Linked DNA regions of Cricetulus griseus. The protein of the gene in region 5 interacts with the protein of the main gene of each other region in a pairwise test. Links are inferred from orthologs where the notes say so. Each region holds a gene or a part of one and is shown on either strand. Other genes may lie near its edges.

The links.
Region 1: the proteins of Atpaf2 (region 5) and Rel interact in binary tests that used the Homo sapiens proteins (3 or more experiments, as listed by UniProt). The two-hybrid records come from large-scale screens. The link is inferred for Cricetulus griseus from reciprocal best matches to the Homo sapiens genes ATPAF2 and REL.
Region 2: the proteins of Atpaf2 (region 5) and Pkp4 interact in binary tests that used the Homo sapiens proteins (3 or more experiments, as listed by UniProt). The two-hybrid records come from large-scale screens. The link is inferred for Cricetulus griseus from reciprocal best matches to the Homo sapiens genes ATPAF2 and PKP4.
Region 3: the proteins of Atpaf2 (region 5) and Trim23 interact in binary tests that used the Homo sapiens proteins (3 or more experiments, as listed by UniProt). The two-hybrid records come from large-scale screens. The link is inferred for Cricetulus griseus from reciprocal best matches to the Homo sapiens genes ATPAF2 and TRIM23.
Region 4: the proteins of Atpaf2 (region 5) and Sorbs2 interact in binary tests that used the Homo sapiens proteins (3 or more experiments, as listed by UniProt). The two-hybrid records come from large-scale screens. The link is inferred for Cricetulus griseus from reciprocal best matches to the Homo sapiens genes ATPAF2 and SORBS2.
Region 6: the proteins of Atpaf2 (region 5) and Rad54b interact in a two-hybrid assay, tested with the Homo sapiens proteins (2 studies listed by BioGRID). The two-hybrid records come from large-scale screens. The link is inferred for Cricetulus griseus from reciprocal best matches to the Homo sapiens genes ATPAF2 and RAD54B.
Region 7: the proteins of Atpaf2 (region 5) and Rpia interact in binary tests that used the Homo sapiens proteins (3 or more experiments, as listed by UniProt). The two-hybrid records come from large-scale screens. The link is inferred for Cricetulus griseus from reciprocal best matches to the Homo sapiens genes ATPAF2 and RPIA.

The regions. Positions count from the first base shown.
Region 1 is NW_023276807.1:83,034,091-83,038,408, forward strand, and holds part of Rel (proto-oncogene c-Rel), read left to right. Parts: intron 1-16; coding exon 17-85; intron 86-196; coding exon 197-268; intron 269-1,707; coding exon 1,708-2,474; 3' UTR 2,475-4,318. UniProt on the Homo sapiens protein: Proto-oncogene that may play a role in differentiation and lymphopoiesis.
Region 2 is NC_048599.1:115,554,328-115,557,738, reverse strand, and holds the end of Pkp4 (plakophilin-4), read left to right. Parts: coding exon 1-28; intron 29-1,429; coding exon 1,430-1,678; 3' UTR 1,679-2,430; downstream 2,431-3,411. UniProt on the Homo sapiens protein: Plays a role as a regulator of Rho activity during cytokinesis. May play a role in junctional plaques.
Region 3 is NC_048595.1:322,464,184-322,468,501, reverse strand, and holds part of Trim23 (E3 ubiquitin-protein ligase TRIM23), read right to left. Parts: intron 2,383-4,318; coding exon 2,248-2,382; intron 1-2,247.
Region 4 is NW_023276807.1:40,730,737-40,735,054, forward strand, and holds part of Sorbs2 (sorbin and SH3 domain-containing protein 2), read right to left. Parts: intron 2,858-4,318; coding exon 2,743-2,857; intron 2,655-2,742; coding exon 2,526-2,654; intron 1,756-2,525; coding exon 1,555-1,755; intron 1-1,554. UniProt on the Homo sapiens protein: Adapter protein that plays a role in the assembling of signaling complexes, being a link between ABL kinases and actin cytoskeleton. Can form complex with ABL1 and CBL, thus promoting ubiquitination and degradation of ABL1.
Region 5 is NC_048600.1:74,539,920-74,544,720, reverse strand, and holds the start of Atpaf2 (ATP synthase mitochondrial F1 complex assembly factor 2), read left to right. Parts: upstream 1-1,754; 5' UTR 1,755-1,878; coding exon 1,879-2,038; intron 2,039-4,801. Other genes in the region: Gid4 (glucose-induced degradation protein 4 homolog), read right to left, coding at 1,010-1,198. UniProt on the Homo sapiens protein: Plays a role in the assembly of the F1 component of the mitochondrial ATP synthase (ATPase).
Region 6 is NC_048595.1:125,716,259-125,720,576, forward strand, and holds part of Rad54b (DNA repair and recombination protein RAD54B), read left to right. Parts: intron 1-2,598; coding exon 2,599-2,880; intron 2,881-4,318. UniProt on the Homo sapiens protein: Involved in DNA repair and mitotic recombination. May play an active role in recombination processes in concert with other members of the RAD52 epistasis group.
Region 7 is NC_048601.1:62,413,888-62,418,205, forward strand, and holds part of Rpia (ribose-5-phosphate isomerase), read right to left. Parts: intron 4,183-4,318; coding exon 4,118-4,182; intron 3,452-4,117; coding exon 3,383-3,451; intron 2,713-3,382; coding exon 2,571-2,712; intron 1-2,570. UniProt on the Homo sapiens protein: Catalyzes the reversible conversion of ribose-5-phosphate to ribulose 5-phosphate and participates in the first step of the non-oxidative branch of the pentose phosphate pathway.

The DNA.
Region 1 (4,318 bases), on a different chromosome or scaffold from region 5:
TTTCTTTTTTAATCAGATGCATATGGCAATAAATCAAAGAGACAAAAAACAACTCTACTTTTTCAGAAACTGCTGCAAGATTGTGGTAAGAATACTTTGGATTGATTTATTTTACTTGCTTCATTCTGTTTTTCAGTTTTTAAATTATAAACTACTTTTTCAAATTACAATTAATAATAGAAAAACTTTATCATAGCAGCTAACTTTCCTGAGAAACCAAGAACTGCTCCCCTGGGGTCAATTGGAGAAGGAAGATTCATCAAAAAAGGTATTTTATCCCTATTAAATACTGTTATTCCACTTTGTAGGAATAAGTGCTTTTTAAATATTTTTATTTCCTACAAATTTTCTCATGCTTTCAATATTGAATTGAGCTGGTCTCCGTGCCTCTGAATATTGGGTTGGAAACTAATTATATTTATTGTTCAAGAAATTACATTTGTTCATACACTAGTCTCTGAGTTAGGGCTTCTATTGCTGTGAAGAGACACCATGGTAACAGCAACTCTAATAAAGGAAAACCTTTCATTGGGGCTGGCTTACAGTTTCAGAAGTCTAGTCCATTATCTTCATTTTGTGTGCAGGGAGACATAGTGCTGGAGAAAGAGCTACATCTTGATCCACAGGCAGCAGAAGCAACTGGGTGTCACACTGGGTGTAGCTTGAGCATATTAGACTTCACAGCCCACTCCCACAGTGACACACTTCTCCAACAAGGCCATACCCACTCCAACAAAGCCACACCTCTTAATACCTCTCACTATGAGCCAAGTATTCAAAATGTATGAGTCTATGGGGCCATACCTATTCAAACCACCACAACTAGTAATTTTACTAATTGCACTGTATCATGGAAGAAATGATGTGGATATAGTAGGCACTTGTTTATAATAAGTTTCACTTGAACATAACTGCATTCCTTTGTTACATAATGTCTCTTGTTGCCTTTTTAATAGTGCTGCAGTAGGACTTCATGCATGCTGACCATGACACAGTCCATGCCAGACCTAGACTCCCTTTTTTTTTTCTTCTACTGCAACAACAGAGCTGAATAATTCCAGTGGAGGCTGCTCACCCCACGAATCTTAAAACTATCTGGCCTTTGATAGAAGATATTTTATGAGCCCCTGACAAATTTTCCATCTCCTTTCCTTAAATTTATCCTGGTTATCCTGGTTTAACCTGGTTTATCCTGGTTCACATAGTACTTGTGTAATATGTCAATAAATAAGTTTTTATGATAGGGAATTTTATAGTAGTTTAGGGTCATATCTTAGTCTTAGTAACTGTATTTTTCAGTTTTTTCTAATGAATGTCTTCTCCATCTCTCCATTTTCTCCTGAAAGTAGAGACTATAACATGATGTAGGCCGTTGGATACCTATTTCCTGAAATTCCAATATTTATCTTCTATGTTTTAAAATGCACCTATATGACTCAAGAAGCTGTATTTTCATATTTAACTAGAAGAAAATTACATATACCAAGATAACTTTTAAAAATCATTTTCATGTGTTTATAAAGCAATTTACATGTTATGAATTTAGTTTTGATTTCATGTAATAATTTCTGTGCTTTAATTTTTTTTTATTTGAAATGTATCAGTTCCCTGGAAATTTTTTAGTGTGTTTTTATAATCTCAATTCAGAAATAATGCTTTACATTTATTTGTTCATCTTAATTTATAAAATACATTTTTCTTCTATAGAATCAAACTTGTTTTCTCATGGTACACCTATGCCAGAAATGCCCAGGCCTTCAGGAGTTTCAAGTCAAACTGAACCCTACTATTCTTCATCTGTGCCCATCTCAAGTGGATTGCCACATCACCCACCAGCCATAGCCTCAGTGGTCTCTCCACCTTCAAGCTGGTCATCAGTGAGCCACCCCACCTCACACTCAGCCAATACAAACACATTGAGTAGTTTCTCAACAGGAACACTTCCCTCTAATTCACAAAGTATCCTTCCGTTCCTAGAAGGGTCTAGTGTGAGTGATTTAAGTGCTTCTAATGCTTGCCTTTATACTGATGACCTAGCTAGAATGGAAGCGTTATCCATGTCACCAGCTGACTTATATGGTATTTCTGATGTCAACATGCTATCTAATCGCCCTGTGAATGTGATGACAACCAGCAATGATAACATGGGGGACACTGATAATCCAAGACTTATGAGCATCAATCTTGAAAATGCCTCATGTAATTCAAGGTTAGACCAAAGAGACCTGAGACAACTACATCAGATGTCTTCTGCCAATATGTCAGCAGGCACCAGTTCTAATTCTGTTTTTGTTGCACAGTCAGATGCATTTGATAGATCAAACTTCAATTGTGTAGAAAATGGCCTGATAAATGAGCCTGGACCATCAAATGATGCAAATAGTCATAATTTTGTTCCGAGCAGTCAATATTCAAGTATTGACACTCTGCAAAGTGAGCAATTGAGTGATTCCTTTGCATATGGTTTTCTTTAAATGTAACCTGTAGGATTTAAATCTAAAAAAAAACTATTAAAACTTTAGGTGTATAGAATATAAAGGGAACATTCAAAATTAGAAACTTAAAGAGCTGTACTGTTTTTTACTTTGAGAGATGCCTAAAGTACATGTGCTTGGTGTGAACTGTTCTTTCAAGTTTCCTCAAGACAAGCTGTGTGTCTTTTGTAATGTATTAATGTACTAGTTAAATGAATTGATATTTGCTTTCAAGCAGATTTAAGGTAAAACATGTAATGGCTATGCCATTGTGAAATAAACTCATTATTGTTGAGGCCCATAGGCCAAAGTGACCCCTATGGGGTTTTTGGGGGCTTCTTGGTATTTTTAGGTAGGTGTGTGTGTGTGTGTGTGTGTGTGTGTGTGTGTGTGAGAGAGAGAGAGAGAGAGAGAAGAGAGAGAGAGAGAGAGAGAGAGAGAGAGAGAGAGAGATTTCAAGGGATGGAAGGTTTTTTTTTTCTATTTTCTATTATTTAGACTCATACTTCTAAAGTTACTTAAGAAATTAGTTGTATATCTGTATTTTCAAGAAAAAGATATTTTCTTGAGCCTTTCTGTATTAGATTCCCTTAATATTACAAGTTCAAGGTCTGCCTGGGCTACATAGTCAGTTCAATACCAGCTTTCAGTTTATGAAAATCTTGTCTCTAAGATAAAAAAGGCTAAGGTTGTGACTCAGTGGTAGACTTTGCTTAATGTTTCCAAGACCTTATGTTCAACCCCCTGTAGAAGGAAAAAGAAAAAATAACAAGATTTAAGTTTTAGGTCAATATGTTGAAGCCTGAGTTTTGAACTTATCCCCTAGACTTGCTTGTCCTTCAGTCTCACCAGCCCTGGAAATTGTCATGCCGTGCTTCTAGCTGCTTAGGTAAAAACCTTGATGTCGCCCTTGATTCATCTCCTAAATCTGTCAATACATCAGCAAATCTAGAAGATCTTTCCTCAATATTTATTTGAAGTTAACCACCTCTTTTGAACTCTTGGTTGAGACAGGGTTTCACATCTCTCAAGTTGGCTTCAAACCTGCTATGTAGTCAAAGATGGCCTTGACCTTCAGATTCTCCTGCTTCTGCCTTAGAAGTGCTAGGATTACAAATGTGCACCACCACACCAAGTTTATGTAGTTTCTGGGGTATCAGTGATAGGGCTTTGCTTAGAGAAGTGCCTACCAATTGAGCTCCATGTCCAGATCAGACTAATTGTAGTAATTTTGTATTAGTTGGCACTGATAAACTCAGACACAACAGTTTTCCTCTAAGTTGAACTAAGGTACATCTACATCTGTGTTTAGCATATTTTCAAATGGTGATTTATTTTTGGGTACTGTTTACTGATCACAGAACTCATTTTATAACTTAAAATGTGTTCAGCCATGTTTTCCCCCTTTCTCCCTAATTGCATTTGTATTTCACTTGGTTTTGAGGGAATGGGCCTTCCTACCCAAACTCCACCTTGTGCACTACATCTTTCCTCCATTGCCAGTGTCCTTATGTCCCTACTTAGTTCATGATTTCATTGTGTAAACAGAACAAATATCTTTTTGGGATTAAAAGGAAAGGGTGAAAACATCCCACAAAGTAACAAACCCTACCCATACCATGCCCCTTCTTTTCACTCCTTAACTTTAAAGCACTGTGCCTCTGTCCTGTCACCTCTGTGTCCCTCCTTCCCTTGTCCATCTCTTGGTTTAGTTCCCATCCCTTGTCAAGTCCCAGGTCTTTTTGATCAGTGTTCCTCTACATGTCTTCCCTGTCCACAATCTGTTATCAGTTGACTAAGTGTGTCTGTGATGGACAGGGTCCTCTTGCTTCCTAACCCAGATC
Region 2 (3,411 bases), on a different chromosome or scaffold from region 5:
AGCAAGAGAACAAAATAGACGGCTACAGGTGAATTTGCAATGTCATTTGTACAGAAGGCTGGTTAGCAGTCACACAGTAAGGGGACCACCGGTGAGAGCTGGGCCTCCTCGATGCAGGGCCAAAGGAGCTTCCCCTGAGGAGCTTTGCCTCTCAGACTGCGTGTGGTTCAGATAAACTGTTTCCATCAGTGCTTCTGAGACTGCATGCCTCTGACGAGGATGCGAGAAACCTCTAGTGCATGCTCTTTGTCCAGTAGTTTCCTTCTCTGACTTTTTTTTGTTTTCCATTAACCTAGAAAGTCTCTTCTATTCTCTGGGTAAGACAAAGTTGGTGAGCAAACCTCGCAGCCTCCTGTTCTCTTTGGACACTTCATCCTCCATCACCATGGCTTCCTTCTCATCCAAGCTCCATGCTTTGAAAACCCTGAGTCTGTAGCCCACTTAAGAGGGTCTTCCCGAGCTAGCCCCTGGAACTGTACTGCCACACACACCCCTTTCAACCACAAAGCTAAGGTTTCCCAGTCAGAACTGCATTGTGTCCTTCCAAATAAGTGTTCTAAGACCCTATCGACACTATAACCTTTAAGTCAAGAGAAATCTAACTCTGCTTTTAAAAGAGGAGATAGTTAGCTAAGTATATTTTTTAACTCTGAAATACCATGATGTTAGAATGAGTTTAAAGTCAGATGCCAATACCTATATGGTAAATTCTTCAATCTTACCAAGATTGTGGGGCAGGGGGCGAATTTGGGCAGCATGCAGACAGACATAAGAGCTGTGATAATTTGAGGGCATCGTGGTGAGGTCAAAGCTAAGACAGCACAAAAGGAAATGGGGTCCGGGTTCCCTGTGTGGATAACATGTGGTACTTCACTTTCTTCAAAGGACCTTATTGGAAGTCTTTGCCTCTACAATGCTATTTGCTCATGTGTCTGCTAATTTTGTTACCTTCCTGCCTTGAGATTGCTCGTCCTCTAATAATAAACTGTACAGCAGAGTTCATCACACTATGTTACGTCTTTTAAAATTAAGCAGTGGATTCACATACAATCCTATAGTTATCTGAATATCTAAAACCAAATCCCCGGCCCTCAGGAATGTCCATGATATGCTTAACTTTCCTGTGCAAAAGCTGCCTCCTCTTTTGGTCCCTAAATAACAGGCTCCTCCACATCCCTTGCCACCTCCCATTGAGGGCCTAAACTCTCCTGAGGCCTCAGGGCAAGACTTGAACAAACAAAGCCAGCTTGCCTATAAACATAATTTAAAATCCTCCCTACTGTGAGTAAACATGGTGTGCACCTGAAATAGCTGCCCCCACCACCACCCTTAGCCCACAAAGAACTGTAAAATGTGAAACTGATGTACAGTGTTCTTTCAATGTGTGTTTTTAAAATGCTCTCCCTTACTCGACTTTCCATTTTGCCAGCAGCACCAACAGCTGTACTATCAAGATGACTCCACCAGGAAGACCTTGGATGCATACAGGTTGTACTTGCAGTCTCCTCGTAGCTATGAAGACCCTTATTTTGATGACCGAGTTCACTTTCCAGCTTCTACTGATTACTCAACACAGTATGGACTGAAATCAACCACAAATTACGTAGACTTTTATTCCACTAAACGACCTTCTTACAGAGCCGAACAGTACCCAGGGTCCCCAGACTCGTGGGTGTAGCATCAAGACGCCTGGCGAGGGACTCTTTCTTGCTAACTTTTGCTTGGATTGAGGTGAAAAGTCCGTCTTGCTGATTTGATGATGAAATGTGGAAAGTGAAATGGAAGGAATGAGTGAAGTGTATTTTTTTTTTTTTTTTTTTTTGAGGAATTTTCAGGGAAGTGAGGAAACCCTTGGGAGAGGACTTTCTAAGCTCTGTGTAGGTGTTAGGTCTAATTACTTGTAGATTCTAGTGGTGAAGGTATGGGTGATGTGATGAGAGGTTTGAGAAATGGGTGAAATGAGATGGGGTATGTGTAGGTCAAATCAAATTACAGATGATTTTTTTAATGTGAATAAAGTTATGTTCAGATAGTTTGTACAGAAAAAAAATAATAAAATGGATGCCCTTCATGTTTTATTGCTATTACTAAATGTCAAGATTGTATGCTATTATGTCTTGTAAAAATTTATTCTGTTGGTGTAAATATGGAAATGCCACATTGGTTAAGTGCCATCATTTGTAATGCAGTGTGTCGTTTGAAAAGAGATTTGAAGAACTGACAGCCTAAAACACAAGTGGGAAGCCCAAGGAACTATTACCAGTTGACAACAAACTCTGACATCCTGTTTTCAGTGAGTAGTGACCCCTGGAAGCACAAAGCTCAGTGTGACAGCAGCGCCATGCTCATCCCGCCTCTTTCACAGGACACTTCACTGCCATTTTCTATGCACATGGAAGAATAATAAATGTGGAAATTTCATCCTTGAAATGTGGTCTGGTCCTCTTTTTCTGGGTGTGATATGGAAAACAGATTAAGTCTGTTTATGAGGTGGGCCACACTGGGCAGTGAAGATGTGGCTGCTACCTTACTGCCCCTTAGTCTATGTATTTCTTGGAGTTTTTGTTTGTTTTAATTTTATCTCCAGTTTTAGTGGGTTCTGCTTTGTTCCAACCTTCTAGATGTATTTAACATCTCTTTTCACCGAAGGGTATTTACATCTGGCATCCTGGCCATACTACATTGGTAAGGACCACTTACAGCATCATTTTTTTGGAACTAAATCATTACATATGGAGAGTTGGGCATTTGCTTGCTTGGCATCAATGTTAGAAGCCAACACTGATTCTAAATAATTATTGTGCTCAGTACTTGTTGGATTATAGACAGCATTTTGAGGTCTATAGGCATGTCCCAATGTTACTCTGCAGCATGCAGCATTGTGACTATAGAGAGACCCAAGAAACAGTACTTTCCTGGGTTGAAAACAGCCCGAGGTTAGGATTCAAAGTAAAATAGGTCCAATGTAGGCAGGAAAGTAGCTGAATCCTACAAATGGTGAGCCTTTTTGAGCTCACCATTTGCAAAGACCACCTAAGATGGCTGACAGGTCATGCTCTCTGCCACATGTGCCCTGGCAGGACAGAGAAAACAGCTTTCTATATGACAAGTCACTGGATGTTCCTGAGGAACTGACACAGACTTTTGGACTTCACACCTATTTGATCTCACCTTCCTGAACCTGGTTCCTTGGTATCTAGGTTTAAGTAAAGGCTGTTTGCTAAAAGGCAGAAAAACTGGGACCTCCAGAGCTGACTGACAGGAACTGTTTCTTTTAGTGACTGTTTTGGCAGCGTTTATTGCAACTAATGCAGATCACAGTTGGGAAGAACTCATTTGGGCCTCCTGTAAGACCTGATGTAGCCAGAAAGGGGCCATGGTGAGAAGAGAGCAGAAAATCTGAGGCCTTTA
Region 3 (4,318 bases), on a different chromosome or scaffold from region 5:
TTCCAGGGAATCTGACATCCTGATCTGGCTTCATCAGGTACCAGGCAAAAATGACGTGCACATACATATATGCAGTCAAAATATTATAGCCACAAAAAAAAGTAATTTTAAAAAACTGGAAAGCATTGCTATATTTCCACACATACAAGACACTTAACAAAGGGGCTAGAAAGATGACTCAAAGATTAAGAGCACTGGCTGCTCTTCCAGAGGTCCTAAGTTCAATTCTCAGTACCCACAAGGTGGCTCAAACCATCTATAGTGGGATCTGACGCCCTCTTCTAGCATAAAGGCATACATTTAGATAGAGCATCATATACATAAAATAAATAAATCTAAAAAAATTAATAAAGACGTCTTAGGCATTCCATGTTCATAGATCTGAAAAATCAATATTGTTCAGGTGTCAGTGTAAGTTCTACCCAAATCCCAATGACATGGAGTGAAAGTACTCTTCAATGGTAGAGTATTTGTATAATATATGCCAAATTACAGATTAGAAAACAAAAAGACAACTTTTGTGGGGAAGAAAAAAATGTTATAGGCCTCAAGGAACACAGCTAAAACAATTTTGAAGAGAACAGAGTCAGAGGACTAACACTTTCTGACATCAAAATATTTTACAAAGCCACAGAAATGAAAAACATGTGGACTGACGCAAAACCAAACAAACCGAGTAAAGTGCCCAAATGTAAACCACCACATATACAACCAAATGATCTGCACCACGGATTCCAAAGATGACTCAACAAAGAAAAAAGATGGTCTTCAAACCTGTAATGAATAAACTGAAGATTGGTGTGTGAAAGAATGAACAGGTACGCTTATTTTACACCACACACAAAAATTAACTCAAAATGAATTAAATGAAAGCACTCCTAACTATAAAGCTAGAAGAATACAAAGAAAAGCTTCAATACCTTGAACCTGACAATAAATACCTGGATATGATACCAAAGCACAGGCAACAAAACCGAAACAGGCTGGCAGTGGTGGCATTCGCCTTTAATCCTAGCACTCAGGAGGCAGAGGCAGGCAGATCTCTGTGAGTTCAAGTCCAGCCTGATCTACAGAGAGAATTTCAGAAACCAGGTCTCGAAACACACACACACACACACACACACACACACACACACACACACACACACACACACACACACACACACACACACACGCGCGCACAGCAAGAACAGGTAAAGAAATTTACATAAAATTTAAGACCTTTCTGCATAATAGGTCATAATCAACATAGTGAAAAAGAAATTTATCAAATGAAGTAAAATATCTAGAAATTAAAAAAAAAAAGCTGAAAAGAGACTGGTAAATACCCATGATTCATAAAGAACTCTTAAACAACAACAAAAAAAGTGAACCAAAATCTTATAGTTACTCAAGACAAACAACAGGAAAGTATACGAAAGAAACATTGTTAACCAAAACAAAATGCAAAATAAGACCACAGTTAAGATAAAATGTCATACAGGTTAAGATGGCCACTATCCAAAATGTGGAGAAATTATAATATTTGTACAACAACAGTAAGATTATGATATGTTAACCATATGTAAAATACCACAGAAATTCCTGATAACATATGTGGCTGAATGCTTGCAAAACATGCACAAAGCTGTGGGTTCCATGCCCAGCATGACAAAAACCTGGTGTGATGACACAAGCCTATAATCCCAGCACTGGAGGTTGAATCATGAGTATCATCATTAGTTCAGTGTCATCCTTAGCTATTATATAGTGAGTTTGAGACCAGCACAGGCTACATACAAACCTTTCTCACAACAAAAAAAAATTTAAAATTTTTAATGGAAAATTTGAAAAAAACTTACTACATGACCCCTAACTTTTATTTCTGGGTATATCACCACAAGAACTGAAAATGGAGGCTTGCAGAGATAGCTAGACAGGAACGGGAGAGATGGCTCCTCGGTTAAGAGCACTGGCCACTCCTTCAGAATGTTTTCCAAAAAGAATCTAAGAAATTTGAGTATTAGCTGGATACCTGACAGTAAAGTATAAAAATATAAAATTACTAAATGTCTTGGGTACAATTCTACTTAAACTGTGAAATAAGAACAGAGATTTAATCTCACTTGTTTCTATTGCCCACTGATGAAAGTTTTTATTGAAATTTTACAACTCATGAGTTCCCTAGTGTCCTCCTTAATTTGATTTACATTTCATGCTACTTGCAATTTGTAGAAAGCATAGGTAAAAACAAGGGCAATACATCACCTTTGTAAAAGTGACTGGGATACTGGCATCCAACTGAATGTGATCTGCAACCTCTGTAAACTGCTGCTGCTGTTTCTGCAGTGTTTCTAATAATCTTGTAATTTCTTGTTTTGCCAAGACAACTCTGCAATCATCCTAGAAAACAAGATGGTATTTCCTATAAAGTTTTCCTCTTAAAAATGGAGACTCCATCAACTTTCAATAAAGACCATGTAATATCACAGTATTAAAAGTAAATTTTAGAAGCTAAGGAGCTACAGATTAGTTTGCAAAAGGCTTGCCTCATGAGCATGAGAACTTTGAATTCAATCCTCAGAACCTATGTAAAAAGCAAGGCACAGTGGTACTTGCTTGTCGTGCTGGAGAGATGTACAGTACATTACATTGGTAAACCCATGTGTTGTTTGAGCTCACTGAGAAGCTGGCTCAGGAACTGGGGTTGCTTCCCTACTTCTGAGCCATGTCTGTTTATGTTAAGTGTCCTCCAAGCCCCTTGTCTGGCACTAACTCTGTGACGAGAAAGGGAACAGCAAAAGAGATCAAGGGTAAAAACATCATATCTTAGATAGGATTCTATTGCTGTGATAAAACAACATAACCAAAAGAAACTTGGAGAGGAAGGATTTATATCAGCTTACAGTTTCACATCACAGTCCATCCCTAAGGGAAGGCATGGCAGGAACTCAAACAGGGCAGGAATCTGGAAGCAAGAACTCATGAAGAGGTCATAGAGGAATGCTGCTTACTGGCTTGTTCTCCATGACTTGCTCAATGTTTTCTTATAGCACCCAGGACCACCAGCCCAGGATGAGCTGGGCCCACCCACATCAATCATTAATCAAAAAAATTCATCACAGGGTGACCCTAAGGCCAATCCAGTGAGGGCATTTCCTCAATTGCCATTCCCTCTTCCAAAATCACTCTAGGCCCTATCAAGTTGATATTAAACTAGCCAGCAAACATCATGTCCTTACAAACAGCAAGAGAACAAACATTCCGAACATGTTACTATTGTTGCTTTATCCCATGATATAAAAGTGCCTACGGTCAGAAAGAAAAGTATGAAGTTCAGCCACAGGAAGCTCATCCATGGAGAGAAAGCTCAATTGGGAACTCTAGCTGGCTGCATTAACTTCTCCAGTTGATTTCTGCTGGACATTGTGAGCACCTGATTTGATGATGTTATTTCTACCTGTGGCTATTTTTTCTTTTACTCAGAAGACTCAATCAAGGCCCTGTTCTGCCTGGAATTCCAGCAAGAACTCTAGCTGGCTGCCTCATGGAGCTTCCCTAGTCAGCTTCTGCTGAGTATTTGTAAGTCCCCAGTTTGACTATGTCATGTTCCTACTGTTACTTGTTTTTTGTGTTTTTCTTTTTTTTTTTTTTCTGAAAATTTCATCTGAGAGGACAATCTGCTCTGCCAGAGACTCTAGCTGGTTGCCTTAGGATTTCTATAGTCAGTAGTTTCTGCTGGATGTTTTGAGCACCCAATTTGATATTTCCCACCCAACCCCCCTGCCCCTCCCAATTTATCTATCTACAGCCATCTATCCATCTATCTACCTATTTGTCATCTATCACTTACTACTTACACTTTTACTTTGGCTTGATATACACTTCACTCATTTTTGAGGCAGGGTCTAAATGTATAGCTTTGGCTAGTCTGAAATTCACATTGTAAACTAGGTCAGCCTTGAACTCACAGAAATCAACCTGACTATGCCTCCCTAGTGCTAGGATAAAGAAGTGCACCACCACACCCAGCTACATACATAGACTTTTTTGTTTGAATTTTCAAATTTTTATTTGCATACATCTACTAATAACTTCACATTTAGAACACTTAGCATCAACATGACCAAGAATTAAATGACAAATATTTGAAGTGGGGAAAATCAAAAAGAAAACTGTATGTACATGAGTGTTTTGCCTACATATTTCTCTATGCACCACATGTGTGCAGTGCCCATGAAAATATAAGAAACCTGTAAGAAGAACCCCATGATCTTTTCAAAAACTTCATCTCCTCCTGTGACGACTGATTAGTCACAGGAAGCCCAAGCCAAGAGTA
Region 4 (4,318 bases), on a different chromosome or scaffold from region 5:
GAAATAACCTTTGATTGTTTTTGAAACAGATGAAGACAATTAGTTACTAGTGTAACTAATACATTCTTCTATTAAAATTTGGTATTTGTACATTCCTTGATTCAAAATGTGGTATTACAACAACAATAACAAAACATGAATGGCATTTAAAACAGATTCAGAGCAAAGACCACAAACGCTGACTTAAAATATTTGCTTGCCATTGTTAATTACAGCATATGGGAGAAGTTCTTCAGTGCTAAGAAAGCATTTGTAGATGCATGATGTTCTCTTCTGAATCAGTTTATTTAAAAGTTCAGTCACTCAAGAGTCATCTGATGGTTCTTTTATGATAGATGGATGGTGGGTAAAACATGCAGATGGATGAAGATTCTTTTCCCCCCATTATCAGTAGAAACTACTGAAGGGAGGATGTTGATCTCTGAATGTTAAATTCTAGAACCTTTATGATCAAACTGGTTCAAACTGCTATCAGTTATCCAGTGATAGACACTTTAGGGTAATTAATTACCCATGATTAGAACCCATTTTTCGAAAAGGATTAGAATGAATAATATCAAATACTAAGACTTTTTAAAGGAGGAAAATATCTCAACTGAGATATATTCATAGGTTATTTATTTACTACACAGAGTGGCTTAGGTCCTGGAGACACTGGCTGAAGATGACCTTGACTTCACCCTTTCACAATGTTAATAATCTGTTTTTACACATCCTTGCCTTGATCTCAACTAAAACAGTTAATGTATTATACAACCCAATCCATCCTTTTTTCACATTGGGAGGCATTTGACAATATTTTGGAAATAATTCACTGGTGATTTTTTATATTTTAATCACTGTAAAGGCGAAAGAAACCCCTACATATACCCCTAAAATAGCTTATAATTCAACAGAAAAATGAGGAAAAACGTTTTTTTTGTGATTAAGGGAAGTAGGAGGATAGCTTTAATCTAATGAACCAATTCAGGAAGGAAAGACCTTTTCTAAATTGTATTGAGGAAGATAATCAATCATCTTCAGCTGTCAGCTTAAGTGAATTAATGGAATTCATGGCCCTAAAACTAATGAAAAAGAACTGTAACTATTTATAATAATCTATCATAATTTCATGCAAAATTATAGGCCCTAAATTAAAAATGTCTTACGCTATGTAGAAAATGCCCTCAGACTTTCATAGACTATTGTACACCTAATAATTACATAATGATACACAGTTTAGGGGTAAATGTATGTATGTGTGCCTGGGTAATGTATATACACAAAAATACAGAGATGTATCAAGAAATGCTGATGATACTAACATTTCCTTTCTCTTCATGCACTTAAACTTGAGAACCGAATTAGCAAAAATGAACACTAAGCCTTTATCCCAGCATCTAAGAAAGGAAAATTAACTTACATTTTCTGATCTGGAACTCACATATATGAACATAATATATGAGTTTGTTTCTTTTCAATGATATGATGGTCTGATGGTCCCCCAAATCACCCACTGATTATGATATCCCGAGATCCCAAATTCAGAGTTAACATGATAGAATGATTGCTTACCTTATTGGAACTTAGGCTGTGAATTCTATCACTAGAGTAGCTGTGGGGTAGAGGAGGGTCAGGGTAATCGTCAGCACCTTTTGTGTTCTTCTTGATGACTTCTACATAGGAGACAGGGAAGATGCCTTGCCTGTTGCTTCCCGGGATTTTACCTTCATACCAGTTTTGATCAACTCTTTTAAGAAGAATAATTCTATCACCCTGTAACGAGCATTGGGAAGTATGTTATAAGTAGAGACACATAGTTTGTCAGTATGAATGCATGTTAAACCTTTCATTTGTGACATTAGAGGCCTAAGGATGCTTGGTTAATGGGAATGGGATTATACATGTTTCATACTGGTACAAAGTAAAATGATCTTTGGAAGTTATTTCAAAAGGCAGATGGTGTGAGAGATGCCATCTCAATGACAGTAGACTCGTCTACCAGAATCAGTGTGATGATCCATAGGGAGAAGAAAATGTCTCTGAAATGGATCATGGAAGCCATCCTCTGGAAGGCATGAAGTGGAATGACATACCATTTTCCTTCTTTAATTTGCATGTCCTGACAAGTGACAAAGAGTGAATAAAAAGCATGAGGCAAAGATGGTAACCTAGAATTTCCATAGCTGTGGAGTGGGCTAACATCCCCTTGTCTCACCAGGACAGGCTAACACCAGCATCCATTTTAATTGGTGAGTGGCTATGCCATTCTGGCCATTTGAATAGAAATGTTGGATTTTTGCAATAGTAGGCATTTCTAATCACTATTATGCTTCCTGCAGCAGACAGGCCAATGCCAGATAACTTTATTTAACTCTCTTTTTCAAAACTACAAAAGGGCCAGAAGAGAGTTAGCAAGATGTTGTTAAAGAGCAAACCCAGAAGGTAACAGGTGGAAGGATGTTCTAAAAAATAAGCTTATCTAACTTGGGTTCAGAATTGTACAGTCTGTGAAAACACCCCAGTGAAGAACACATCTAGGTTACCTTTCGCAGGGAGAGTTCCACGTTTGTGTCTGCATTGAAGTTGTATTTGGCTATGGCTTCGCCAATCTCTCCAGGCTGGACTGGGGGTGGTGGTCTGGCAGGCTGTGCTTTTTCTGGAGGTGTTAGTTTCTATAATGGAGAACAGTTTCAGTTGGTTCTGAAACTTGTGATAACCTTTGGAACAGCATCCTTCTGGAGATGAGGAGAAAGGACGTACCTCTACGTATGAGATTGGAAAGATGCCCACTCTGCCGTAGTGCTCCCCCTCATACCAGTTCTGGTCGATTTTCCTGAGGATGTAGACAGTATCTCCTTTCTTAAATGATAGCTCCCTGGAAGAGACGAGACCAATGGACACTTTCTAGAGGAGCAATAATTAATCCTATGATCAACATTCCATATGTATCTGAGGAACACACTCCCAACATGAAAACATCCGCCAAGCTCAGTTAGATAAGGATTTTCCTTACAAATTTCTGGCAGTCACTTATGTAATCTTGGAAATGAATTTGAAGAGCAAGTATCTGGATCATACACTGTATAAACTGCATCCTTCAATGACATGATATTTGAAAGAGGTGACAGATTATTATGACCTTGCTAGTCTACAGTCATATATAATGTTTATAACCTAATATTTTGGCTTGTAGCAGGAGCATTTCTATACATCAAATTAATATTTTGGAACATGTATGGAAATTATAGGCAACTAATTTTTTCTTTTAATACAGATATATATCTTTTCTACTTAATATAGGCATGAATTTATAATCTTGGGTATATCCAGTAAAGAGAAAGTTACATTATTCTCCAGTTTTCAAAGCTCTGTCCCTCTCATGTCTGAACTAGAGCCCCATTTTGATAAATTTGCTGTATTTTTACTGCATTTTAAAATACTGGCTACTGGATCATCGTCACTGCTCAGAGTCATCTGACACAAGCGACCTGTGTGCCGGACCGAGTTCAGTGCCGGGATCCAAACACTGAACACCCAGAGGCAGCCCTGCCTCCATCCGCCAGCCCAGGTAGGCCAGGAACTGTTTCCAGGTCGTTGTTGCTGCTCAGAGTCATCTGACACAAGCAACCGGCATGCTGGACCCAGTTCAGGGGCGGGATCCAGCACACCGAGGCCTGGTGACAGCTCTGCCTCCAACTGCCAGCCCCGGCGGGACCCAGCACACCTGAACATTGCCGATGCCCGGGTAACAGTGACACCTCCATCCACGAGAAAGAGGACCGACATCAGAGTATTGGATCTGTTTGCATCTACCAGAAGAGAACCTTGGTCCCACACCCACCAGGAGAGCAAGAAACTCTTGCTACACCCACATAATAATCAAAACACCAAACATACATAACAAAGAGAAAATATTAAGAGCAGCAAAGGAAAAAGGCCAAGTAACCTATAAAGGCAAACCTATCAGAATCACACCTGACTTTTCCTTGGAAACTCTGAAAGCCAGAAGGTCTGGATTGATATTATACCTACACTAAAAGACCATGGATGCCAACCCAGACTACTATACCCAGCAAAGATTTCAATCATTATAGATGGAGAAAACAAGATATTCCATGACAAATCAGATTCAAACAATACATATCCACCAATCCAGCCCTACAGAAAGTACTGGAAGGAAAACTGCAACCCAAGGAAGTTACCTATAACCAGAAAAACATAGGCAATAGATAATCCCAACTTACCAATAGCCAAAAGAAAAAGGGACAGAATCCCACACATAATCTCATCACCATCACCAAATCAAAAACAAATAAGAATGAACAATAATCAATGG
Region 5 (4,801 bases):
GGCAGCCGGCAGCCAGTACTCAGATATCCAGGTCAAATAGGGGGAGGTACGTGGACACAAAACAAAACTGGGTTAGATTTCCCAGTACTTGGGCATCTGAGGCTGGGAGGAAACTCTGGAGCTGTGTAGATAAAAATCAGCAACACTGAAGCCAGCAATAGCAACCAGCTAGACCAAGGTGCGAGGTCTGGGGAGAGGCCAGGGGCACTGCCTGGGATGGGAAGTGGCCGCGGAGCAGGGTAGAGTAAGAAGCCTGGGGCAGGAAGCCTAGAGTGGGGACAGTTGACAGGGCTATGAACTGACTGAAGTAGGGTTTTGGTACTGGAAGGCCTCAGGAGGCAAGGTCCTAAACAGTAAATGGTGCAACTGGAGATACCTGGGTGTGAGTACCTGATCTTTGGGGGAGCCAAGGGCTAAGGAATGCCTTGGGTTGTCTCAGCCAACAGAGGGAGGTTGTCCACTCGGCCCCGCCGCCCCGAGGACCGTAGGTTGGTTGAGTTTTCCAAAGGAACAAGGTCCCTGGCTCTCAGGATGGAGTGGTGGTAAGAGGAAAAGCTTCATTTTGGGAGAATCTGACACTGGTCGCCACCGGGAGGTACTGAGTCTGGGGGAGCCAATGGGGAGTTCTTCAGGGTACGACAGGGACTGATGGGAGGGCAGGCTGGTGTAGGAAGACAGGACTTGGGAAGAACCGACCCAGGTTAAAGGACAGCTAGTCACAGGGGTGCTTCCGGATCCCAAGCGGGCGGGTCAAAGGCTCCAAGTGTGGGACAGTCTTTGGGGTCTGTCTGAGGCTGGCCGCTACAGGCTCTGGGTCTAGGGGTGGGTTAGGGCTAGGGTTCGAGAGTGTGACATCAGCTGGGTAGGTCCCGGTGGGAGGCGCCGGGTGCAGGAGGCCCCGGCAGCGAGGGCCTGGTCCGCGGCTGAGGGCTCGCGGAGCCCAGGGCAGGCCTGGCCCGTGAGCGCCGCGAGGAGGCCCTCGGGCCCGGCCTGGCCGCCCGGCGCTCACCTGCAGCACCACCTCTACGTCGTACGAGTTCCCCTTGCTCTTCTGGTGGCCGCGGAACTTGGAGCCGCTGTAGAGCAGGCTGGTGGCCACGCCGGGCTGCTGGGTGTTGATGGGCGGCGGCGGGATGAGTGAGGCCGCGGATGTGGCTGAGGCACCCGCCGGCGGGGGACACTCGGTACGGACCGGCATCGCGGGGTCCCCCGGAGCCAGGGCTGGGGGGAGGGGGAAGGAACCGCCGCCGCCGCGCGGGAGTAGAGGCTGCGGGGAGGGCGGACCCGGGCGCGCACGCGCGGGGGAGGGGCTCCGGGAACCACCCCGCCCGCTGCCGGCCGACCAAGGGCTCGTGTCGCCACCTGGACCCCGGGACCTGCTAGCAGGGTTGTCCTGAGCTGCGTCCTCCTCCCCACTTGCCCTCGCGCGCACACACACTTGCACACACACATTCACACACTCACACACACATTCACACCCTCACACACATACACACATTCACACATACACACAAACACACACACACACACTGCGGCTTCCGATTGGCGCGGGAGCGCTAGAGAGGCGGGAGTAAGCGCGCGCGGCGCTTCCGCTTATTGGTAGGCGGAGGGAGCACGTGGTGTGGTGCGCGAACGGCCCTCTGGGACTTGTAGTTTTTTCCGTAGTGCGGCATGGAGGGGGCGGGGCGAGCACGCTTGTGATGCTGATTGACGGGGAGGGGGGCGGGGAGAGGTGCGCCGAGTGCGCGCTGTGGCGACGGCGCGCCGTAGGTGTCATGAGGAAGATGGCGGCGTGCAGAGGAGGCTGAGGGATTCGAGCCCGTGGTGAGAGGTTTCCGTACAGTGTCTTCGCTTTATTCTTCTCCTCTGTTTTGAGGTATGCGTCCACCCAGGCCCTTGGGCGTGATGTGGCGGATCTGCCCCCGGCTGAGGGACCGGGGGCGCGGCCTCTTGAACCGGCCTTCCAGTGACCCCACCGGCTCAATGTGGCCAAGGCCAACCCCGCGGCCTCCGGCCAGGGCCTATGTACCACCAACAGGTGAGGCCCGGACATATGTTACCTTTGGTCAGGAGCCAAACCCTGGCTCACCTGGTGGAGGATTTCTGTGGTGCAATGGGAGGGTGACTAAGGCAGGGTTCAGGCCCATGATATTTAGAGCAATGGAGTTGTTTCATGTGGGAAAATGATACCCAAACCAAACCAGTGCGGGGATGACCTTAGAGGGCACAGCGAGATATTTGGCTCTTGTGGCTTTTCTAAATTTTCTTTTTCTTTGTTTGTTTTTCGAGACAGGGTGTCTCTGTGTAGTCCAGGTCTTGGAACTCGCTCTGTAGACCAGACTGGCCTCGAACTCAGAGATCCTCCTGCCTCTGCCTCTGTGCTGGGATTAAAGGCGCGCAGGTGGCTTCTTTGATTTCAGAAAGGAAAATCTAGGCTTTAAGTCAGGACTTCGAAGGTCACAGAGCAGACTGGTTGAGGTTAGTGGAAGGCAAAGAATGGCCTGACCGCCTTGTGCCTCCAGCATAAGACTTGGCACAGAACGGGCAGGCCTTAAGCCTTCCACCTCCACACACTTTCCTTGAGGGTTTGCAAGCCCTCTGTCCTAGTGCAGCGCTACAGCCCCGGCGTTCTCTGAAGCCTTCTCTAAGTGCGCGTTCAGGCCATGCTGCTTTCCCCTACCAAGGACTGTCATGAGCCTGAAAGGAGGTTATTTCGTTGTTGCTAGAGAGAGAGTTTATGAGTGGGGTTCACTTCAGTGAATGAAGAGTAGTGACAGCCTCCTTTCATCCAATGAGCTGTTTTCTGTTGAGGGCATGCCGTCTCACCTGAATGATATTCACTGTCAAATGAAGGATATGTTACACCCACTAAACAATAGTTTTAACATGCCGTGATATGAGAAGTACTAAGGATCTGAGAGCGCACAAAGAATTCCCTTTTTTTTTTTTTTTTTTTTTTTGGTTTTTCGAGACAGGGTTTCTCTGTGGCTTTTGGAGGCTGTCCTGGAACTAGTTCTTGTAGGCCAGGATGGTCTCGAATTCACAGAGATCCGCCTGCCTCTGCCTCCCAAGTTCTGGGATTAAAGGCATGTGCCACCAATGCCCGGTAAAGAATTCCCTTCTTTCTTGAGCATGATTGAAAGGGTACTTAATTGAAAGGGGCTTGACTGAAAGGGTACTTAAATTGGGGCCTAACAAATAAATGAAGGGTTTGGTGAAAAAAAGGAGTGTAGCATGTCCAGAGGTGACAACAGGGTGTTAGAGATCTTGCTGAAACATGCCCACATTAAGAAACAGAATTCCTAGCTGGAGAGGTGGCTTAGGGGTTTAGGGCACTCACTGCTTTTCCAGAGGACCTGGGTTCAATTCCCAGCACCCACATGGGAGCTCACAACTGTCTGTAATTCCAGTTCCAGGTGATCTGATTGCTGTCACACAGACATACATGCAGCCAAAACACCAATGCACATAAAATAAGAATAAATAAATTATTAAAAAAAAAAAAGAAAAACAATTCCATAGGTAGTTTGGCACTGGGATAAGAGTACAAACTTGGTGTCTGTTGTTGCTAAACTTCTGAGGTACTGTGGTCTCAGGCATGTATGATGTTGCTTTCTTTAGTGATCTGAAGCATAAGATTGCCTTTAAAAATTCTTTAGGCTGTAAATTCCATATTTTTCATTTGTGTGTGTGTGTGTGTGTGTGTGTGTGTGTGTGTGTGTGTGTGTGCGCGCGTGCATTCTTGCTTGCCATGCACATGGAGGTCAGAGGACAGCTAACAGGACTTGTTTCCATCATGTGGGGTTCAGGATTGAACTGAGGTTGTTGGGTTTAGTGGCAAGCATTTTTACATGGTGAGCCATTTCAATGGTCCAAAGTCCATAATCTTATATAAATGGGAGAGGAGATTGGATGTAACAGGGAGCTGAGTTTTCATTTATTAAGACCCAAACAATGACCTAGAAGTGGACCAGGAAGAGACAGTTAAGAGGAAGGAGGAAGCTGAATGCAGTGTTGTGGTGTTGCATATGTTTGTGTACTAACTGCTCGGGAGACTGAGATAGAAGGATTACTTGAGCCCAAGAGTTTGAGGTTAGGCTGGGATATAATAGCAAGACCTCAACACAGGGCGGAGGGGGAGGAGACAAGGCTTGACTTATATACACCTTGCTCTCACCATGCCTCATTCACTCATTTATTTATACATTCCTATTTTCTTTCATATTTGACTACTTACTATATGCTAGATAATTCTAAGAGCCAACTGGTAAGTCTGTAATGCAAGAGAAAAGATGGCAGGTCAAGTGCCTCCATATCCCTTTGCCTATTTAGTGAACGCCTGAATATGTTCATTTTCTTGTGCTGTGCCTCCCTAGGATATGCTCTGCTCTCCTTGTCCTCACCAATTGTGAGCTTTTTGTGTATCTTTGAAGTAGTGTAAATTATACCCCATTGGGTTCTTCTTGGTAAAGAGGTAAAGACTCTGGTTGCCACACTGACTGGGCTTGGTCTCTTAGGCACTGCGACACCATGGAAGGTTGTCTGGAGAGGAGGGGCTTTTGAAGGGCTAACTGGGGGTGGGGTGGGGTAGGGTGGAGGAGGAGGAGTGTAGTGCAGAGATCCTCCTGTTCTGTTAGCTGCCCAGAGGGGAAGGTGTTTTGGAGAAGCAGCATATGAGGCTGAATACAAAGAAGTCAAAGCTAGAAGTCCTGTCTCTACCATTTACAAATTGCCTTCTGTACAAGACAGCTCCTCCAAGTCTCTACCACTTCAGAAGCATTACTGGCCTTGCCATCCTCAT
Region 6 (4,318 bases), on a different chromosome or scaffold from region 5:
AATCTCATTTATCTGATTAATGACCTCATTTTTTAAGCAGACACATCTGTGTTATTCAGCTCCTTACACATGGAGAAAAAAATAAATAATTGTCCACTGATTTATTAATAATTTGAGCAAACACTTATTTTTATTTTTCCAAGACAGGGTTTCACTGTGTAGTGCTGGAACTCACTATGTATATCAGGCTGGCCTCGAACTCATAGAGATCTAACCACCTGGCTCTACCTCCTGAATGCTGGGATTAAAGGGGTGTGCCACCACCACCTGCCTAAACACTTCCTTAATTGCTTTCATTTTTTATTATTCAGAAGGTATTTTGTGCCCAAATTCTGAACCCCCAAATCACCAAGCGACCCATTCTGATGCAAAAGCAAAGAGTCTTTTATTGCTTAATGAGCTAACCCCATTAACTCGGGCTCTTCATCCATTCATTGAGGTGGGTGGCTGGAGAAGGACCGGGAGAAGCTGCAAGTCAGGAAATTCATTGGGTAGAGCATGGGGAGTATCCAGGATTGGTGCGCTTCTGGGCTTGGATGACCTGTTCTGTGTTGATTGGTCAACTGGTTGTTATGGCCTATATGCCCTCCCAGGGTGGTTGCTATGCTCTGCATGTCACTGTTGTGCACTTGTACTGTAAAGCACACCCAGAGCCATAAAGCACAGCCCTGTCAGCTAACTTTTGATTGGTTCCTTGACATGAGGAGGGTATCTGACCTCCTAGTGACTAGGGCAGGAGGGCCAAGGTCAGGCAAGCACATGTTGAGTCATGACTGCTAAAACGGGAGCTGGTCCCTTCAGGTAGACCTTGGAATGGAATATCTAAGCCTCTTGCCACAGCTGCATTTTAATTTGGCTCTCTTGTGAGGACAGTACAGTACTAGTTGTGGGGAGAGTTAATTGTCTATCACATTTCCAGCTCTTTATAGAAATAGAGATGTCATTCAGTGTCTCTAGTTTGTTCACAACATAGGACTGTGTGCAGTCTGCTGAACTATTTTCTTGGCTTGTTCCCCTCCCCCCCCAGTGCAAAGATGGCAAAAAACCAAACCAAAACAATCATTATAGACTTCAATAGTGTATTTTCTTTCTTTTTTCTTTGTGTTCTTTTTTTTTATTTTTTGAGACAGGGTTTCTCTGTATTGCTTTTGAGGTTGTCCTGGAACTCGCTCTGTAGACCAGGCTGGCCTCGAACTCACAGAGATCTGCCTGCCTCTGCCTCCCGAGTGCTGGGATTAAAGGCATGTGCCACCAAAATAGTGTATTTTCAACAATAAAAAGTATTGCTTTCCCTAATAAGAAGTGCCAGTGTAGCACTTTTATATTTCAATATCTCCAAAAGTGTAGTGAATTTATATAGCTGTGTTAAATACTCCTTTAAAAACTTATTTAGTCATTCATTTATTGTGTGTGTGTGTGTGTGTGTGTGTGTGTGTGTGTGTGAGAGAGAGAGAGAGAGAGAGAGAGAGAGAGAGAGAGAGAGAGAGAGAGAGAGAGAGAGCATGCACAGTGGTGGGAGGGAGGTAAAAGGACAACTTTTGGGAGTCGTGTACTCTGGGCTAGCTTGCTCAAGACTTTTAAGCAATTCTCCTGTTCCAAATCTCCCATTGAAGGGACTATACCCTCTCACCCAGCCCCCCTGCTTTAGCAGCCATGACAGGCTACAGAAAATACCCAGCAAGATGTCTGACTCAGCAACATGTGCTGAGCTTCCTGACCTTGCCTGACCTTGTAGTCACTAGGAAGCCAGATATCTCCATGTGGCAAGGAACCAATCAGAAGTTAGCTGGTGGGCTCTGGATGTACTTTAGTTAATAATGGCTTATAGAGCATAGTACTGCCCTCGGATGGCCTATAGGCCACAGCAACCAGTTTACCAATCAACACAGGACAGGTCATCCAAGCCTGGAAGTGCACCAATCCTGAGACCGTTGCAGTCCCCAGACACTCCTCTTGCTGCACCCCAATAAATTCCCCGCCCCTTGGTCCCTCTGGGCCCTTCTTGATCCACCAGATGTGTCGGATGGATGGAGGAAACAAGTTAATACAGTTAACTTGTTAAATTATTAAAGACTCTTTGCATTTGCACTGGATCAGGTTTCTTGGTGATTTTGGGGTTCAGAATTTGGACATAACATTATCTTACCATAAGGATGCTGGGAAATGAGCTGGACAGAGTACTTACTGGTTGGGAGTACATACTACGCTTCTCTTGGACCTGAGTTCAGTTCCTAGCACCCACATAGGGCAGCACTCATATAAATAATAAACCAAACTTGAAGAAGTGCTGAGGTTATAGACACCACTGCACTAAAAAAAAAAAAAAAAAAAAAACCAAACCCACCTGTTTTTAATGTTGGCTCTGAGAATTGAACTTGAGGCATCAGGCTTATTCATCTGAGTTATCTTCTGGCCCTTGTTTTTCTCTTAAATCAGAATAATAAATTATGTTTCTTGTTAATGAGATATATAATGTAATTTATCTTGTACTTATATTTTATTTACAGTGTTTATTCTGTATGGTTATGGGAAGGTGACTATTTTACTGCTAAATTTTCTTAGAATGTCAGTTCAATTAATTTGTTTTCTTTCTTAAAGGCATCAGCTATAAATTCAAAGAGTTTGAAAACGTAGAAGAGGGCCAGACACTGGTGATTGGTGGAAAAGAAATAGAGATCCTGGGTTCGGTCTCTCCTGATGACTTCAACAGTGGCAAGTGTTTTCAGCATGGAAGTGGAAGTCCTGTGGTCCCAAGTTCTCAGGCAGCCAGGAAATGCTTTTCTAACCCTTTCAAAAGTGTCCATCAGTCAAGCCAGTCAAAGGAAAATAGACGGGATGATTGGCAAAACTGCAAACCACGCTATGACCCTTGCACACCAAGTAAGGTTTTAAAGATAAGTTGAACCTTCTGTTTCCATTGTCCAAAGATTTTTTGACATGTGAATTGACATTAAATTTTGTTTTTTAAATTTGCAAATGGTTAAATCAGGCCTGGGTTGCATAGTGAGTTGAAAGCCAGTAAGCCAGTGTGGATTATATATTGATACTTGTATCAAAACTAAAAACTAAATAAAATGAAAAAAATTTCAGGTGAGGGACTGGAAAGGTGGATTAGTGGAGAGCCCCCCCCCCCAATCAAGACCTGAATTTGATCCATGGGACCCACATACAAAATTAAAATAATGTTTTTGAGCTGGTGCATAACTTAGCACTCAGGAGGCAGAGGTAGGTGGATCTCTGTGAGTTCAATGCCAGCCTGGACTACAGAGTGAGTTCCAGGATAGCTAGGGTGGTTATACAGAGAAACCCTGTCTTGGGGGCAGAGGTTGAAAATTGTAGGTGAAGATTATATTCAGATATACCCTTTGACATAAAGAATAATGCTGAAATCAAATACCTTTGGGAGTTATTTAACATTTGTAATCCCAGTGATATGTTGGTCTTGGCATTTGTCGTGGCTCTGTAGGGATTTCCAGGTTCTCATGGAGCAGGGGCATGGCTGCAACAGGAACAGTTTATTGGTAAATAGTACACTTCCAAGGAGGAGGAGAAGTTTAGAAGCCCTATGGCAAATGCTGCACAAAGGACCAATGTTTTTATATTCAAGTGTCACAGGCTTTTTGGCCCATTTGCATACTTTGAGCTTCCTCAGGAATGCATTTTATTGCATGTAGTTTTCACTGAGCCAAAGGTTATCCTCTCAGTTCTGGCGTTCTTTGCCAGTGGGTCCTGCCAGTTCTTGTTGATTTGTGCCTGGGGATTCCACCCTTCTTTTTTGCCAGGAGGCTTACCTCACATGCTAATTTTGTAGCTTTGGATAAGTCCTCCTGACCTCACTCTCTACCCTGGCCATTCTAGCTCCTCCCTGAGCGCTTTTTGGGGAACTGAAGTTTAATGATACAACTTATAACCACTTCTTGCTGTTGAGGAAGGAATGTAGTTCCTTCCTGTGAGAGACCACAGAATTCTCTCTATTCATCATCTGATTGGAGAAGAGGACCCATACTCCTGTGGTAGGGATTGGCTGGGGTCTCCACATTAAAAGTAGTCTGGAGTTGCTGTGTCCTCAATGACTACAGAGGGTCCTGCATTCTGCAGGTCAGAGGGACTGGGAATAGATGCAAAGTTGTCAGGAAAGACACACAGACTTTTTTCTTTATTATTCTTTCTGTCCTTGTTCTACTCTATTCTTTTTCTGTTCTGTTCTTCTATCCTGATGTTTCCCTTCTGTGTCTTTCCTGATGTCTCTCTTCTCTGTCTTTATTCTTTTCCTTACAGCTCATATACCCCAGTGAAATCTTTCAAGCAATATAAAAAT
Region 7 (4,318 bases), on a different chromosome or scaffold from region 5:
AGTGAAAACCTCCAACATAACTACATCTCAAAGTTTAGCATAAGCACCATCAATAATACAAAATAAGGTTGTACTGACTTCACACATCACACCCTCCCCATCAATGTCTCATTAAAAGGACAGGGCAGCCGGGCGGTGGTGGTGCACGCCTTTAATCCCAGCACTCGGGAAGCAGAGGCAGGCAGATCTCTGAGAGTTCGAGGCCAGCCTGGTCTCAGAGCAAGTGCCAGGATAGGCTCCAAAGCCAGAGAAACCCTGTCTCGGGGGGGGGGGGGGGGAGGACAGGGCATCTGGGCAGTGGTGACATATGCCTGTAATCCCAGCCCTCAGGAGGCAGAGGTAGTTGGATAGGAGTCTGAAGTCAGTCTGCTCTACAGAGTGAGTTCCAGGATAGCTGGGGCTACACAGAAACCCTGTCTCAAAAAAAAAAAAAAAAAATTAAAAAGGGGGGGGGGGAGAGAGACAGACAGTCAAACAGGTATGGGGATGGAAAGTTTTAGCTACAAATCCAGAAGTCCTCAACACGATTGGACACTAAAGAATAGGATTGTTTAACAATAAAAAATATTGACAAACATAAGTGAAAGGTTCAGGCTTTAATGCTCATCGGCAATAAAGAGACAGACCCCACCCCCTGACAACAGTCAGCACGCACAAGAAAACGTGCTATGTCATCATCACATCACCCACCACGCATGTGTGAGGACTCTGTGCATGAGTGGAAGCTCAGCGCGCAAGCGCAGTCTTCCCTTTAAAAGTTCCAACTTCCCTGCTACTCTACTCTACTCTTTCTTATTCCCTCCCTCTCACCTATGCGCCCTCTCTGCCTCTCTATGGGACTGGCTATGGCCTGTTCCTCTTCTCTCTTTAGTCTCCTACTCTCCTGGCCCTAATAATAAACTGGTTAACACGTCTCATCTGCCTCTTTTTCTCTTTTTCTTCAAAAACATAACATTAAGCATAGGCAAGACTCCTCTGCAGCCTGGAGTGGAGTCCAGTTAAAACTATACAAAGGTAAACGAGGTGTGGTGGCTTATGTCTATAATCCCAGCACTTGGTTAGGTAGAAGCAAGGAGATCAGAAGTTCAAAGTCAACTCCAACTATATAGCAAGTTCAAAGAAGCCTGAACTATGTACGGCCCCTCTCCTCAAACAAACAAAAATCAAGGGGAGAGGGCTGAGGCCTCGGCGAAGGCACAGTATAACCAGTTCTCCTTTTGAAGAAAGTCAAGAAAGCATGATCATTTCTTTTTCTCTATTTCCCAATTTTTTCTCATAGCTACATACATTTCAGTTTGGTTCATTACTTTTGGTTGTGTATTTAAATGCAAAAGAAAAAATTATTTCCAGGCCACAGCTATAAACTGATGAGAAACAACCCCACTGGGGTGCTGTGTGTTCCCCTCCCCCAAGAAAGTCTACTTACTGATACATTTAGGGTAGAAGGAGAAGGCAGGGCATATAGCTCAGTGGGGGAGTACTTGCCTGGTATTTCAAAAAGCCCTGGGCCTAATTCCTAACACTGAAAAAGAAAAAAAGGAAGGGAGTGGTGCTGCCTTGAGCAAAAAGTTCCTGGAAAGATCAGCATCTTCCTCCAGGCTTCTGCAGGACATTAACCAGCTGGAACTTCAATGGCTGGGTGTATGGAGTCTAGACTGTTACTCCTCCAGAGACAATTATCTTGAGCATCTACACCTTTTGAAAGGCAAAAAAAACCTTTGAAATGTAGACAATAAGAATGCTACCAGAGTCAGAGTGGTAGTGGTACAAGCCTTAAATCCCAGTGCTCAGGAGGCAGAGGCAGGTGGAGCTCTGAGAATTTGAGGCCAGTCTGGTCTACAGAGTTCCAGAACAGCCAGGGCTACACAGAGAAACTCTGTCTCAAAAAACAAAATAAAACAAAACAAAAAAAGGATACTACCAGATAGTGCTGAGGCCCAGAGCTAAGATTTCCCCATTTTACTGTGACCTGCCTACCTGGTGTTTCCAATGTATTTGAAAAGTGTCATTTTGTGATCTTCTTTGTTTTATCTCTGTACAAACTTAAAACTGTTACCACATTGGTGGCACACACCTTTAATCCCAGCACTCGGGAGGCAGAGGCAGGCAGATCTCTGTGAGTTTGAGGCCAGCCTGGTCTCCAGAGCGAGTGCCAGGATAGACTCTCCAAAGCTACACAGAGAAACCCTGTCTCGAAAAACCAAAAAAAAAAAAAAAAAAAAAAAAACTGTTATCTCACTGGAACACTGGAATGCAGAATTTGGGGTAACCTAGATCTGTATTCCCAGACCATCACTTATGCTCTTTGAGATGAGAGTTGTACTCTTACAGGTATAGCCACAAAAAAGCTGAGAGGAGAGAGGAAAATATCACACCAGGTAACCTAAAAGAACTTTCTGCCCCAAAGAGCTTCCAGAAGACAGACAGACAGACTGACAGAAACACACACACACACACACACACACACACACACACACACACACTCTTACGTTTCAGGAATCTAACTGCCACAGAAAGGAGGACAGGAACACACTGAGCCAGGGTGCTCGGAAACCTCCCTGGCCACTTACTGCCTTGTTGACAGCCATTCGAAGTTCTACCTCGCCCCCAAACTTCTGGGTCACAGCTCGGCTTACTGGGACATAAGCCATTGGGATGACCTCAATAGGGATCCCCTTGTGCCACCGATCTCCAAGGTTCTTTGAATCTTTCCTGGAAAGAATGCCAATCAAATTAAGTAAGTTCAACGTGCAACCAAATTCAGGCAAGAGGCTAACTAGACAGCTGGAGGGGAAAGGAATCAGGAACAGTACAGGGGGCTTCAGAAGTATGGGCTGCTTTACACTAAAGAGAAACTTGGACAATGTGGCAAAAATGTTAAAACCTGCCCTGCTGGCTTGTTGACTAACCTAGGTTTTTCCTTGCAGCTATGGTATTTCTTGAGTAAATACATATGCTGGTATCTCTTCTAGCATGCTCAGCATAGCACCCCTCAGGCGACTTGGGGGAAAAAAAAAAAAAAAAACAGCCCAGAAAGACTGAGCACAGACAGCACAGTCACGTGTGGCTTAGCCTGACCCCAGAGGAGGAGGACGAGCTGAGTCACTCACTGCCTGTGGAAGGGCTGGCCTGCTTCCTGAGGCTCCCTCTGAAAACATAATGAGTGACACATGCAGACTCGCTCTGCCCACAGGGTGACACTGTTTCCTCCCCATCCCCAAACCTGAGTGCTGGGATAATTAGCAGGAGTCTCTGCCTGGACTCCTAGAGAACAGGCAGGCAGTCCTTCCTGCATTCCGCTACAAGCTTTTCTCTGTACAGGGGATGAGACTTGGAAACCCATAATCCTTCTCAGCTGCAGCACAGAGCCCTGGAACGGTACCTGAAATCCGCGATCACAATGAAGCGACTGGCATAACCAGCCACAATCTTCTCCTGGGTCAGGCAGCCTCTAACAGGAAAAGAAGAAAGTGGACATTAGAGTGAGATCATCTTAATTTGGGGACTAAGGTCAGACACAGGAATCCCAAACATGCTCACTTAGAGAAATTTGACTTCTGTTTTAAAGAGCCACCCTCAATCCTATCGTGCTGCTTTCTAGTAAATGGAATACAAATACATTAGCTTGTGTCTGGTAGAAACCTAGGAATTGGACAATGGTTCCATTCAGGCCAAGCACATCCCTTCTGAGATATGTCTGAGAGGCACTGTGTTGGGGAGACATCTCTGAACATGTCCTGAAAAGACTGCCCTGTGGACTATGTGACAGCACATAGCTCAGACCCTGAATTGTCTGGCCTGTCTCTATTGCTCCCTAGGTAATTACTTCACACCTGTAGCCAGGATAACATAAAACATGATCATTCTGATGTTTCCAAATAAAGGAAGAGTTCCCCAAATGATCACAGACTCCAGAGTTTTAACACAAAAGCCACAGACCTAACCATCTAACCCAAGAATAATCAGAAATTCCAGGCTTGCTCAGAGGCATACGGTATCTTGTACTGATAAGAAGACAAACTCATAGGTATCCAGGACAACTGTTTACTGTCCTCCATTTCTGCCTTGTTAAGGATTAGCTGAGAGTCTTTTAGCAACCGAGTCCCACAACACTCACCCACCGCCCTTAATGAGATTGAGCTCGGCATCCACTTCATCAGCACCATCAATGGCAAGGTCAATCTGTGGAGAAGGAAGGAGCTGCTTGAGCTGAGATGCTGTGCCAAACCTTATCAAGCTGTAACAGCTCATCAGGTTCTCAGAGCTAGGCCCAGTATTTCCACTCAACCACCCAAGAGACTAAAAGGTACTTTGCTGA